Stegostoma tigrinum: one gene and its partners. The protein of the gene in region 2 interacts with the protein of the main gene of each other region in a pairwise test. Links are inferred from orthologs where the notes say so. Each region holds a gene or a part of one and is shown on either strand. Other genes may lie near its edges.

Evidence for each region.
Region 1: the proteins of erlin-1-like (region 2) and sec22a interact in binary tests that used the Homo sapiens proteins (3 or more experiments, as listed by UniProt). The two-hybrid records come from large-scale screens. The link is inferred for Stegostoma tigrinum from reciprocal best matches to the Homo sapiens genes ERLIN1 and SEC22A.
Region 3: the proteins of erlin-1-like (region 2) and fa2h interact in binary tests that used the Homo sapiens proteins (3 or more experiments, as listed by UniProt). The two-hybrid records come from large-scale screens. The link is inferred for Stegostoma tigrinum from reciprocal best matches to the Homo sapiens genes ERLIN1 and FA2H.

What each region holds. Positions count from the first base shown.
Region 1 is NC_081360.1:97,211,231-97,214,980, reverse strand, and holds the start of sec22a (vesicle-trafficking protein SEC22a), read right to left. Parts: upstream 2,845-3,750; 5' UTR 2,625-2,844; intron 1,427-2,624; 5' UTR 1,290-1,426; intron 1-1,289. UniProt on the Homo sapiens protein: May be involved in vesicle transport between the ER and the Golgi complex.
Region 2 is NC_081390.1:13,847,330-13,851,079, reverse strand, and holds the start of erlin-1-like, read right to left. Parts: upstream 2,779-3,750; 5' UTR 2,707-2,778; intron 2,614-2,706; exon of another isoform or gene 1,901-2,613; intron 1-1,900. UniProt on the Homo sapiens protein: Component of the ERLIN1/ERLIN2 complex which mediates the endoplasmic reticulum-associated degradation (ERAD) of inositol 1,4,5-trisphosphate receptors (IP3Rs).
Region 3 is NC_081369.1:14,133,162-14,136,911, reverse strand, and holds the start of fa2h (fatty acid 2-hydroxylase), read right to left. Parts: upstream 2,926-3,750; 5' UTR 2,795-2,925; coding exon 2,495-2,794; intron 1-2,494. UniProt on the Homo sapiens protein: Catalyzes the hydroxylation of free fatty acids at the C-2 position to produce 2-hydroxy fatty acids, which are building blocks of sphingolipids and glycosphingolipids common in neural tissue and epidermis.

The DNA of each region.
Region 1 (3,750 bases), on a different chromosome or scaffold from region 2:
CACTCGAAGCAGTTTAGAGACAGTTTACCAGACCAATACATGGAATGCATGGGTTTTCTTATGAGGAGAGCTTATATAAGCTCAAATTTTATCTGCTGCAGTTTAAAAAAGCAAGAGGTGGATTGATTGAAACATACAAGATTCTATGATGACTTTACATGGTAGATGTTGACAGAATATTTCACCAGTGGGAGAATCTGGACCACTGCTTAAAAATCAAGAGTTGCTCATTTCAATGTTGAGGTAATTCTTTGGAACTCTTCGCAGAAAGACAGTGGAAGCAGAATACTCGAATATTTTTAAATTCTTGTTGATCAAAGGGGTAAAAGATAATGAGGGGGACAAGGGATTGTAGATCTGAGGTTACAATCAGATCAACTGTGATCTTATCAAATGGTGATGGACACTCAAGAGACTGAAAAGCCTATTCCTGCCCCTAGTTTCAAATGAGGGGTTCAAAGGCTAGCCAGTGTCAGGGTGGAACCACAATCAACCAGGTAGTTGTCAATAAACATGACTGTGTAGAAATGAAGAAAAACTTCCATTGGTAGTGTCCTTCTTGATCTCCCAATATTTAAAAGTACTATAAGACCTTCTCTCGACCCTAAGAAATGGGGATGTTCGACGACGATTGCATAATGTTCATCACTAATTGCAACCCCTCAGATACTGAAGCAATCGATGTTCTAATGCAACAAGATCTGGACAACATCCAGGATTCAGCTGACAAATGGCAAATAACATTCATGCCACACAAATGCCAGGCAATGATTGTCTCTTATTAGAGAATATCGAACCACAGCTCCTAGACATTCAATGGTGCTTCCAGTATCAATATCCTGGGGGCCGCCATTAATCAGAAACTCAGCAGGACTTGCCACATAAACACAGTAGCTACAAGAGCAGGTCGGAGGCTAAGAACACTGTAGTGAGTAACTCGCCTCCTAACTCCCCAAAGTCTGTCCATCATCCACAAGACTTAAGTTAGAAGCGTGATGAAACAGTTCTCACTTGCCTAGATGGGTACAGCGCCAACAACACTCGAAAAGCTTGATACCATTCAGGACAAAGCAGCCTACTTGATTGGCACCACATCCACAAGCATCCACTCCCTCCACCACCGACAGTCAGTGGCAGCAGTGTGTACTATCTACAAGATGCACTGCAAAAATTCAGCAAAGATCCTTACACATCGCCTTCCAAACACACAATCACTTTCATCTAGAAGGACAAGTGCAGCAGATACATGGGAACACCACCACCTGCAAGTAACCCTCCAAGCCACTCACCATCCTAACCTGGAAACATACTGCTGCTCCTTCACTGTCACTGGGTCAAAATTCTGCAATTTCCTCCTAATGGCATTGTGGGTCAACCCTCAGCATGTGGACTGCAGCAGTTCAAGAAAGCAGCTCACCACCACCTTCTGAAGGGCAATTAGAGACAGGCAATTAAAAAGTGCTGATCCAGCCAGTGTGGGCCATGCCCCACAAATGATTAAAAATATTAAAGTAACATTGCAGTCTAATCACAAATGTCATGTAAGATATAAAGTACCCAAACGGCACACAATATGACCACGAGGAGAGCCGTGTGATAACAAGCAGGTGATCTGCTTTAAATTAAGCTTACTGAAGCATAAATACCGGCCAGGGCAGTGGGATGAATTCATGGCTCTTTCTTAGTGAAATGTTACAGCCACCTGAACAGACAATGGGAGTATTGTCACACAACCATCTCATAACACTGACTACACCTGCAGGCAGAGAAACAGGGCCAACATTTCAAGGTGTAAAGGTGGGTCACATTCTAGCACCAGGGCCTCAACAATGACGACCCAAGCCCCACATCCCTAGGAGTCCCTCAGTACTGATGCGCAGACATATAACAGTGTCTAATTGGCTGATTCGCTGAATGTGCAGCCCTGTCAGCACTCAAACCCTCAAGGACAAGCCTCCAGTCTGCCCAGCCCCCGAGAGTACAGAGAACAAGGAGCTCCCTTGACCCTGAAAACCTTAACAGCGCCACGCTCCCTCAGCGCTGACCCTCTGACAGTGTGGTGCTCACTCGTACTGACACTCCAACAGTGCCGTGCTCCTGCAGCACTGACTCTGCGACAAGGTCAGAAATCCACCACACCAGGTTATAGTCCAACAGGTTTATTTGACACTTCACCTGACAAAGGGGCTACACTCCAAAAGTTTGTGATTGCAAATATAAACCTGTTGGACTATAAGCTGGTGTGGTGTGATTTCTGACCTTGTCCACTCCAGTCCAAGACCAGCACCTCCGCATCATGAGAACGTGGTGAACCTTCTTTGATAGTGGGAACTGCAGATGCTGGAGAATTTGAGATAATAAGGTGTGAAGCTGGATGAACACAGCAGGCCAAGCAGCATCAGCTTTCCTGCTCCTCTGATGCTGCTTAGCCGGCTGTGTTCATCCAGGTCTGGCGAACCTTCTTTGCTGTTTTGTGTACATGTGTTCGGTTCTCTGGCCTGACATCTGAACCCAGGTGTCTCTCGGGGGATGATGCTGCTGCCCAATGTCCCATACGAACTGCCGGGCCCTCGGTTACCTGCAGCCTCACGGTCTCCCCCCCAGCAGCGAGCCTCATACGTTACCTCAGTAACCGGTCGCCAAGAAGACAGGCCACAGGCCTTTCCTCCAGCCGCTCGTGCTATGGACCAGAGCCGGTGCTGACCGGTCAAAGTCCGCTCTCCAGGGTGACGGCTGCACGGTTTGTCGTGGGTGGTGGCCGGTCTCACCCGACCAGGTCGTCGACCCGTCTAGTAGACACCAAGAGGCGGTAGCAGCACGCAGGCGCACCCGACACGCCCCGCGCGAACGTTTCAGACGGCGCATGCGTCTGCCCGGCTCCTGCCGGACCCCTTCATTGCGCGTGCGCAAGACCCCCGTCTCCTGTCCGTCGGATCGCATGCGCATCCGTCCTTCTAGACGTCGGATCAAGGCTTACACATGCGCTCTATCGGGTGGGGGACCTAGCTGTCAATCAAAATCCTCATCTCTCGTGTTTACGTGGCAATGGAGCATTTAGCGCCTGAGCAGCTTATAGAGTCTGAGAAAACACACTTAGTGCCTGCCAGGGTGCGTAATGTCTCTGATCGTGTTTTTGGGATCCTTAAGGGGGAGGGGGAGCAGCCCCAAGTCGTGGTCCACTTTGGCACCAACGACATAGGTAGGAAGAGAGATGGGGATTTAAGGCAAAAATTCAGGCAGCTAGGATGGAAGCTGAGAGCTTGGATGAACAGAGTTGTTGTCTCTGGTTTGTTGCCTGTGCCACGTACTAGTGAGGCGAGGAATAGGGAGAGAGAGGAGTTGAACATGTGGCTAGAGGGATGGTGCAGGAGGGAGGGTTTTGGATTCTTGGATAATTGGGGCACTTTCTGGGGTAGGTGGGACCTCGACTAGCAAGATGGTCTTCACCTGAACCAGAGGGGTACCGATATCCTGGGGGGGAGATTTGCTAAGGCTATTCGGGTGGGTTTAAACTAATTCAGCAGGGCGATGGGCACCAAAATTGTAGTTTGACTATAGAAAAGGTTGAGAGTAGGGTGGTCCGAAATAAAGTTTCAGGGAAGCAAGATGGACCGGCAAGCAAGAGGTTGGTTTGAAGTGTGTCTACTTCAATGCCAGGAGTGTCGGAATAAGGTGGGTGAACTTGCAGCATGGGTTAGTACCTGGGACTTCGATGTTGTGGCCATTTCGGAGACATGGATAGAGCAGGGA
Region 2 (3,750 bases):
GATGAGTTTGGCTAGGCGGATGAGGGTGTCGGTGGAGGGGGACTGGTCAGGCCTGCGGGACAGGAAGAAGCGGAGGGCCTTGAGGCCATCTGCATGCGGAATACAGGTGTATAGGGACTGGACATCCATGGTGAAAATGAGGTGTTGGGAGCCAGGGACTGTACCCAGTGTGGCTTCCTCTACATTGGGGAAACCAAGCGGAGGCTTGGGGACCGCTTTGCAGAACACCTCCGCTCGGTTCACAATAAACAACTGCACCTCCCAGTCGCCAACCATTTCAACTCCCCCTCCCGATCTTTAGATGACATGTCCATCATAGGCCTCCTGCAGTGCCACAATGATGCCACCCGAAGGTTGCAGGAACAGCAACTCATATTCCGCTTGGGAACCCTGCAACCCAATGGTATCAATGTGGACTTCACCAGCTTCAAAATCTCCCCTTCCCCCACCGCATCCCAAAACCAGCCCAGCTCTTCCCCTCCCCCCACTGCATCCCAAAACCAGTCCAACCTGTCTCTGCCTCCCTAATCTGTTCTTCCTCGCACCCATCCCTTCCTCCCACCCCAAGCCGCACCTCCATCTCCCTACTACTAACCTCATCCCACCTCCTTGACCTGTCCGTCTCCCCTGGACTGACCTATCCCCTCCCTACCTATACGCTCCTCTCCACCTATCTTCTTTTCTCTCCATCTTCGGTCCGCCTCCCCCTCTCTCCCTATTTATTCCAGAACCCTCACCCCATCCCCCTCTCTGATGAAGGGTCTAGGCCCGAAACGTCAGCTTTTGTGCTCCTGAGATGCTGCTGGGCCTGCTGTGTTCATCCAGCCTCACATTTTATTATCTTATGTTCCTGTACAGTAATTTTCTTTGTTCTTTATTAATCAAATTTGTAGCTGATACCTGGCCTAGAGGGTTAATGAACCAGAAAATAGCAGCTCCAGTTACAGAACAAGCTAACTAAAATAACTCAGTGGACAGGACAAAGAGATTCAATTTTATACAGGAAGATTAACACTTAAATGATACACTATGAATGGTTGATATAGCAAAAACGAAGTTGAAAAAGGCTGGTGAACACCATACACAAAATGGAAGTGTGCTAATACTGTAGAACATAAAAGAAAAAATGACTTGCCATTACAAAGCACTTTGTAACTAATTAAATACTTTACAAGTGTAGTCACTTATAATATATGACACATAGCAGCCAATTAGCATCCAGCGATGTCCCACAGACATCATTGTGAAAATGCCCAGCTATACCTCGCCATTTTCAGTAGTGGTTACGTACTGGCTAAGAGAAGTAACATTGTGGGATCTTGCACATTCACTGAATTATTCAGCAAAAACCAGAATGAAAACAGGAGGTTTGATCACTTTATAAAGCTTTGGTCTGGAAACAGAACAACTTTATTCAGTTCTCATCATTGAGTCATTTACATTGTGAAGAAAATGAGCACATTTGAATTATGGAGAAATTTGGAAATTTCAATTTTGAAAGTAAACGGGTGAGAGGGATTTTATAGGAAGTATGCAATATTGTAAACATTATGGAAAAGGAAAATAACTAAACGCATAAGAATAGGACAATGGATCACAGCTTTAAATAAACAAAAGGCTATTTCAGGGCAAGTCTCAAAATTACTCTATGAAGTAACTAACATCAAGTGATACATGCTTAAAGGCAAGTTATCTTTCTGAAACACTTCTTACAATCCCAGAACAAATAAACACATACTTCCATTTAAAGTGAAGTTTGTTAAAGCTGCTCATACGGCAAATATTTACTTTCCACTTACATCTTTGCAATTAGTAAAATATCAACACACCCACCAAGTTTTCCCGATAATGCCCAAGAAAAGCCAAAAACAGTTTTAACAACTGGCAAACTTGTACTTACAACTCTGCCAATTGACAGCAAGCAAAGCAGTGGGTGGAGATCTGACTGAAGCATTGAGATGGACGTTACAAAAGCATACAGGTCTTAATAAAGCTAAAGAAGTTAGATGGTGAAAGTTTGGAAGAAAGATTACATAACGTACGATATTCAAACATGATACTGGATAAAACTGCACCAATCCAGTACAGCAATGCCTGCAAGGAGTTTAAACGGAAAGGCTAATGACAGGGGAAGGGATCAGCATAAACAAGAACCAGACAAAAATGCAGATTGTGCATGATACAGGTCAGAGTTCTGGCATTTGGCAGGAATGGAACTCAGAAAGAGTTGAGAAAGCGAGTTTCGGGAAAGATAGAGGGCAGAAAATTAGCCCAATTACGAATGTTTAAAAACAAGAATTTAAACAATAATGGTTTAAACACTGTCTGACACACAGACAGAAAAACATCGAAGGTTAGAAATTTTAAAAAGGGGCTTTTGCCTATCATGGAATTTTTCTATTTCTTCCCTCCACCCTCTGCAGTCGATAGTTTCGAAATATAATGCATTTTTAAACAAAAGACAGGGAGACATGAGGATGGGAACAGGAAGGCTGAAATTGGGGTGGGGGGGGGAAATATGACAGTGGGCATGTGGGTAGAAGGAAACGGTGGTGGTGATAAGAACGGGTGAGTAAGGATGGGTGAGGGTGGGGGTGGGTGAGATCGGGACGATTCTGGGGCTTTTCGGGAGGTAAGTAGCTGCAGCACCGGGTTTGGGGGGGGAGGGAGGTGTTGGAGATGGTCTCCCCCTCCCCTAACACTCACCGCCTCCTCCAGTCCCAGCACTGATCCTGATCGTTCCCGGTCCCTTCCCCACACCCTCCCATTCATTTCCGGGTCACAGCACCGCCCTCCTTAAAGGGAACATCCCTGCATTGCCTTTAACTGCTCTGCCGACAAATATTACGAAAGACGCTTTCCCGCCTCCTCTATCCCCTCCCCCACCCCTACCTTTCCCCTCTTCCTCCATTCCCCTCCCCCACCCTTCCCCCACCTCAGCTCCCTCCTTTACCCCCCTCCATTACCCTTCTCCCACCTTCAACTCCCTCCTTTACCCCACTCCATTACCCTTCACCCACCTTCAGCTCCCTCCTTTACCCCCCTCCATTACCCTTCACCCTCCTTTCCTTCCCCCTCCTTACTCCAACTTTCTTTCTCCCATCCCCATGCTGCTTTATTCCCCTCCAGATTAAATCTTCAAAAGTCCAGATTTATAATTGCATAAGCTCAACCCTCCACCCATTTCTGACCAACACCCTCACCCACTCCTCACAATTTTACGATTTTTAAAAAAATCTCAATGATTGGACAGTCCACTGTCAGAAACCAGATCATGTCCTTTTTGAAGTAATCTTTCCAAGTTGCATGTGTGTATAAATCATAGAATCCCTACAGTGTGGAAACAGGCCCTTTGGCCCAACAAGTCCACACCGAACCTCAGAGCATCCCATCCAGACCCATCCCCCTACAACCCACCTAAACTGCACATCCCTGAACACTATGGGGTAATTTCGCACGATAATACACCTTACCCGCACATCTTTGGACTGTGGGAGGAAACCAGAGTACCTGGAGGAAACCCATGCAGACACGGGGAGAATGTGCAAGCTCCACACAGTTGCCCGAGGCTGGAATTTAACCCAGGTCCCTGGCACTGTGAGGCATCAGTGCTTACCACTGAGCCATTGTGTAGATGGAAGAAGGCGTTGTTTGGAAAGTTAAAAAAAAATGCAGCCTTTCTAAGAGATAACACAGTATGGAGCTGGATGAACATAGCAGGCCAGGCAGCATCAGAGGAGCAGGAATGTT
Region 3 (3,750 bases), on a different chromosome or scaffold from region 2:
TTTTGTATGGAATACAAGTTTGTGCATACATGCTTTGCTACTAACATTAGACTAATGCTAATTTAAAATCAGGAAGCAGCTAGAAAAGTCATTGATTCTCAATAGTCCATCCAAATATACAATTTTGACTACTTTTCCTACATATAAAAACTTGCCTCAGCCTCTATCCAAAGATCGCAGAACAGTTGCTCACATAATGTTGCTTTGCTTCCAACTACATCACCTCCAACACCCACTGAAGGTATTCATGGACAAAAATCACTGCTGGTCTCTCACTTCTCCAGCAGTCCCATGATGTTTTTCCATTGTAGCTTTTTGTATTGTTAAATTTACCTTATCACCTTAGATACAAATTAACCACACTGAAATAAAAGATGATCAGGTAAGCATGGTTTTGCTAACACCAGCACATCTTTTATTGTTAAGCGTTTTAACAAGCAGGTTTTATGGGTTGGCTTAAGTTTTTTTGGCTTACATGTTAATGACTCGGACTTGGGTATTCGGAGCACAAATTCAAAAATTTGCTAATGGTACAAATCTCAAGTATCACAAGTCAGTGAGGACAGGAGCAGGCACAAGAGACTGAGGAAACAGGCAGTCACGACATGAGATTTAAGGTAATGTGAAGGGTAGCCTTTGATAGAAAGGCCGAGAACAGCCATAAATGAACTAAACAGTACAATTTTAAACAGCTGCAAAGAAAACTGAGGCAATGAACTGCTGGAAGTACAGGAGTAGAAGAAATGGCAGTGCATGAAAAGAAGTGACACTTTTTGTAATATTTACGGAGATAGCAATTGCATGAATGTAATGGCAAATTTTTGAAATACTGATCAGGCCTCATTTCGATTCGGAGTTCAACTCCTGAAGAATCATGTAAAGCCTTGGAGCTTGCAAAGAACTGATGTACTAGAATGATTCCAGGGACAATGCACTTCATTGATGTCCTGATGCTGGGAAATATCTTCGAACAGAGAAGGCTAAGAGGATCATAGGAGAACGTACAAACGCAGAGACGATTGAAACAATACAGAAAAAGGAGAGGAACTTTCCAGTGATCAGGTTGGAAACAGGAGCACAGAAGGACTGGTTTTAAGTGTGTGTTCAGGACATCTACAATGTCTGGAAAAAAAAAGCGGCTGAAGCAGATTCTGTAGCAAATTCCAAATGGAATTGAAAAATACTCGAATAAAAAAAAATCAGTGAGCTGAAGGGAAATGATATTAATCGAATAGTTCGATCAAAGAATACGACACAATAAAACGGCACAAGAAAGTTGCCACGCTGCTGTGAATTTGACAATTTCCGTCTAATGTCCATTACCAAATAACTTGAATTAAAGAAGGTATTCAGCCAGCTACATGTAGGAAATTAGTAACACGGGGCAGAAAAGCCGCGCAATTCGAATGTTGTACCTTCTAATGTAGTGACAAATGTCACACAGGGCCAAACCAAATGGGGAGAACGTCTGTGACCTTACAATAGCCAGTTCGTCTCGGGTTCGAGCAACCACAGAACTCTGGCAACAGTTCACATTTGGACAAAGTTTCGGTACGATCGAAAAATTCAAAGGACTTGTTTTAAAATTCACGTTCAAGTCTCACCTCCCATACCCACACCCTTGTGTATGCCTTTTTTCTAAAAGCCAGAAAAAAAAAAGAGGGTGGCGGTGGAGGCAGAAATGCGAGGAAATAAATGCCAACCGTGGGCCCCAATGCTCTTGTTAAACCGGTTTGGTTATTAACCTGCTGGTTAACGCCCTTTTGTTTTCTCGCAGCACCTGTTTATCCAGGTCTGCGATCCGCTCCGCTCTCTCCTGGGTACAAACCTCGCAGCAACTCAGCTAGTAAATACTTCGTGTTTCTTGAGCCCATTTCCCCCTTCCGACATGTGTCACAAGCCTTAGTCTGTTTTACTTTCGGTCGGACTTGGATTTTTCTTTGAAAAACCTCAAAATAAAAAGCTCCCCCCACACTCCTGAGGAGACGCCTCTCTGATATCTTTTTCCCTCCAGACACCAGCCTTGCTTTTCAGTCCAAGCCTTGGAGCAGGTGTTTTCTTATTTTAAAGAAACAAAAAAAAACAAAAAACACAGAAAACAGGCTCAGCATTAAGTCACGGTAGAATGCAGAGCTTCCGGGTATGTTGTTTACACGGATTTATTTTAAAATATCGTGTGGAAAAATTCCATCAACCCCATCCCCCAAGGTGGGAGCTCATCGCTGTATGAGCCACTCCCCTCACTCCATAGTTAATTCTATTAAAACTCCACTTCGTGTGTATGTTAAAAGTTCTGCTTTAAACTTTCTCATTTACTTCCACTTTGCTGTTTTTTGTCCCCGAGTAGGTTCAAAACATGACTTTGCACAAAATGTCACGAGTGAATAAGGTGGGGAGGCGCTCTTCAGCGGATGAACCAGACGTTGGTGGGGTGGGGGGTGGTCTTCCTTAGAGGATGCCCAAGATCTTTTCCATCCCCTTCCCTTGGAGTTACCTGCTTTTTCTGGGAGAATATTTCTTCTTCATCCTCCTCCGGGGCGCCGCTGTCCGTGCTCAGCTCCCCGATGTAGTACTGCTGTAGCCAGCGGTGCGCGTTCGAGCTATGCCGGTGCGGAGGTCCTGCCATGTCCCGGCTCACATCCGTACCCGCCCGCCGGACGATCATCTGCTCGCCGCCCGGGTGCCGCTGGATAAACGCCGACACGTCGTAGACCCGCCGCCCGTGGATGATCCAGCAGGAATCCACCGTCGTGTGCTCCTGCACCTCGGCTATGGTGAAGTAGCGCTTCTCCATAATTTTTGTTTAATCTGCGCGTTGAATCTCTCTTTATCTTTCAGTGCCGTGAATTCACCGCCTAGTCCCGTCCTTACCGCCCTTTCCAACACTCACATTCCACTAGTGTGTATAACCCAGCTCCCTCTCACTGCCCGCTATTAACATAATAAGGCAGTACGGCGCCGGCATACACCTGACGCAGCCCCGCCTTCCACTTCGACATTAATATTCATGACAGTCTTTAATTACAGTGTCCCCGCCCTGTGAGTTTTGACAGGGCTTTTTCTAGAATGGATTTCGGGTTTGGGGTTGACCTGCAGTTGCAGCACCGCCCCCCCCCCGTTGTCCTTCCTTCCTGCTGACCCTCCATCCTCTCTAGTTTCCCCCCAGTAAGTTTTCAGCTGAGCTCGACTGTTTCACTTAGCCTCTTTCATTGCCTCCGGCTAATTTTCTCTCTCTCTCTCTGGGTCCCTCAACCTTTCCACTTCTCACCTCCTTTCAGTCATCTCATGAAGACTGAACTTTTGCTCCACTCTCCTCAGTGGGAGTGGGAGTGGGAGTGGGAATGGGAGAATGGGAGAATGGGGTGTGCCTCCGTGTTAATTTTCGCCTGATTGTACGCTTCTTGGCGCACCTTAAGCTGTTTTCTTTCAAACCATGTTAAAGGTTCTACATCAATGTAGGTTGTTGTTGAATGCAGTTTTCATATAACGAAACGTCCCCAGGCTCCTATTTTCATATGGCACATGATTCCAAGGAGGAACAGGTTCCTCTCCTCCACGCCTTTCATTTGGAAGACATAATATTCTGATCTCCCCAATTTTGAAAGTGCTTTCAAAGGTTTTTTTTTGACTTACCTCCATGCTTTGAGTGTGGTGGAATTAACCAGATTGATGTGATTCAGTATAAATGAACAATTTCAATAAGGTAAGCACTTAGGCTGTAAATTTCACGTTACGATAAATAACGTCAAG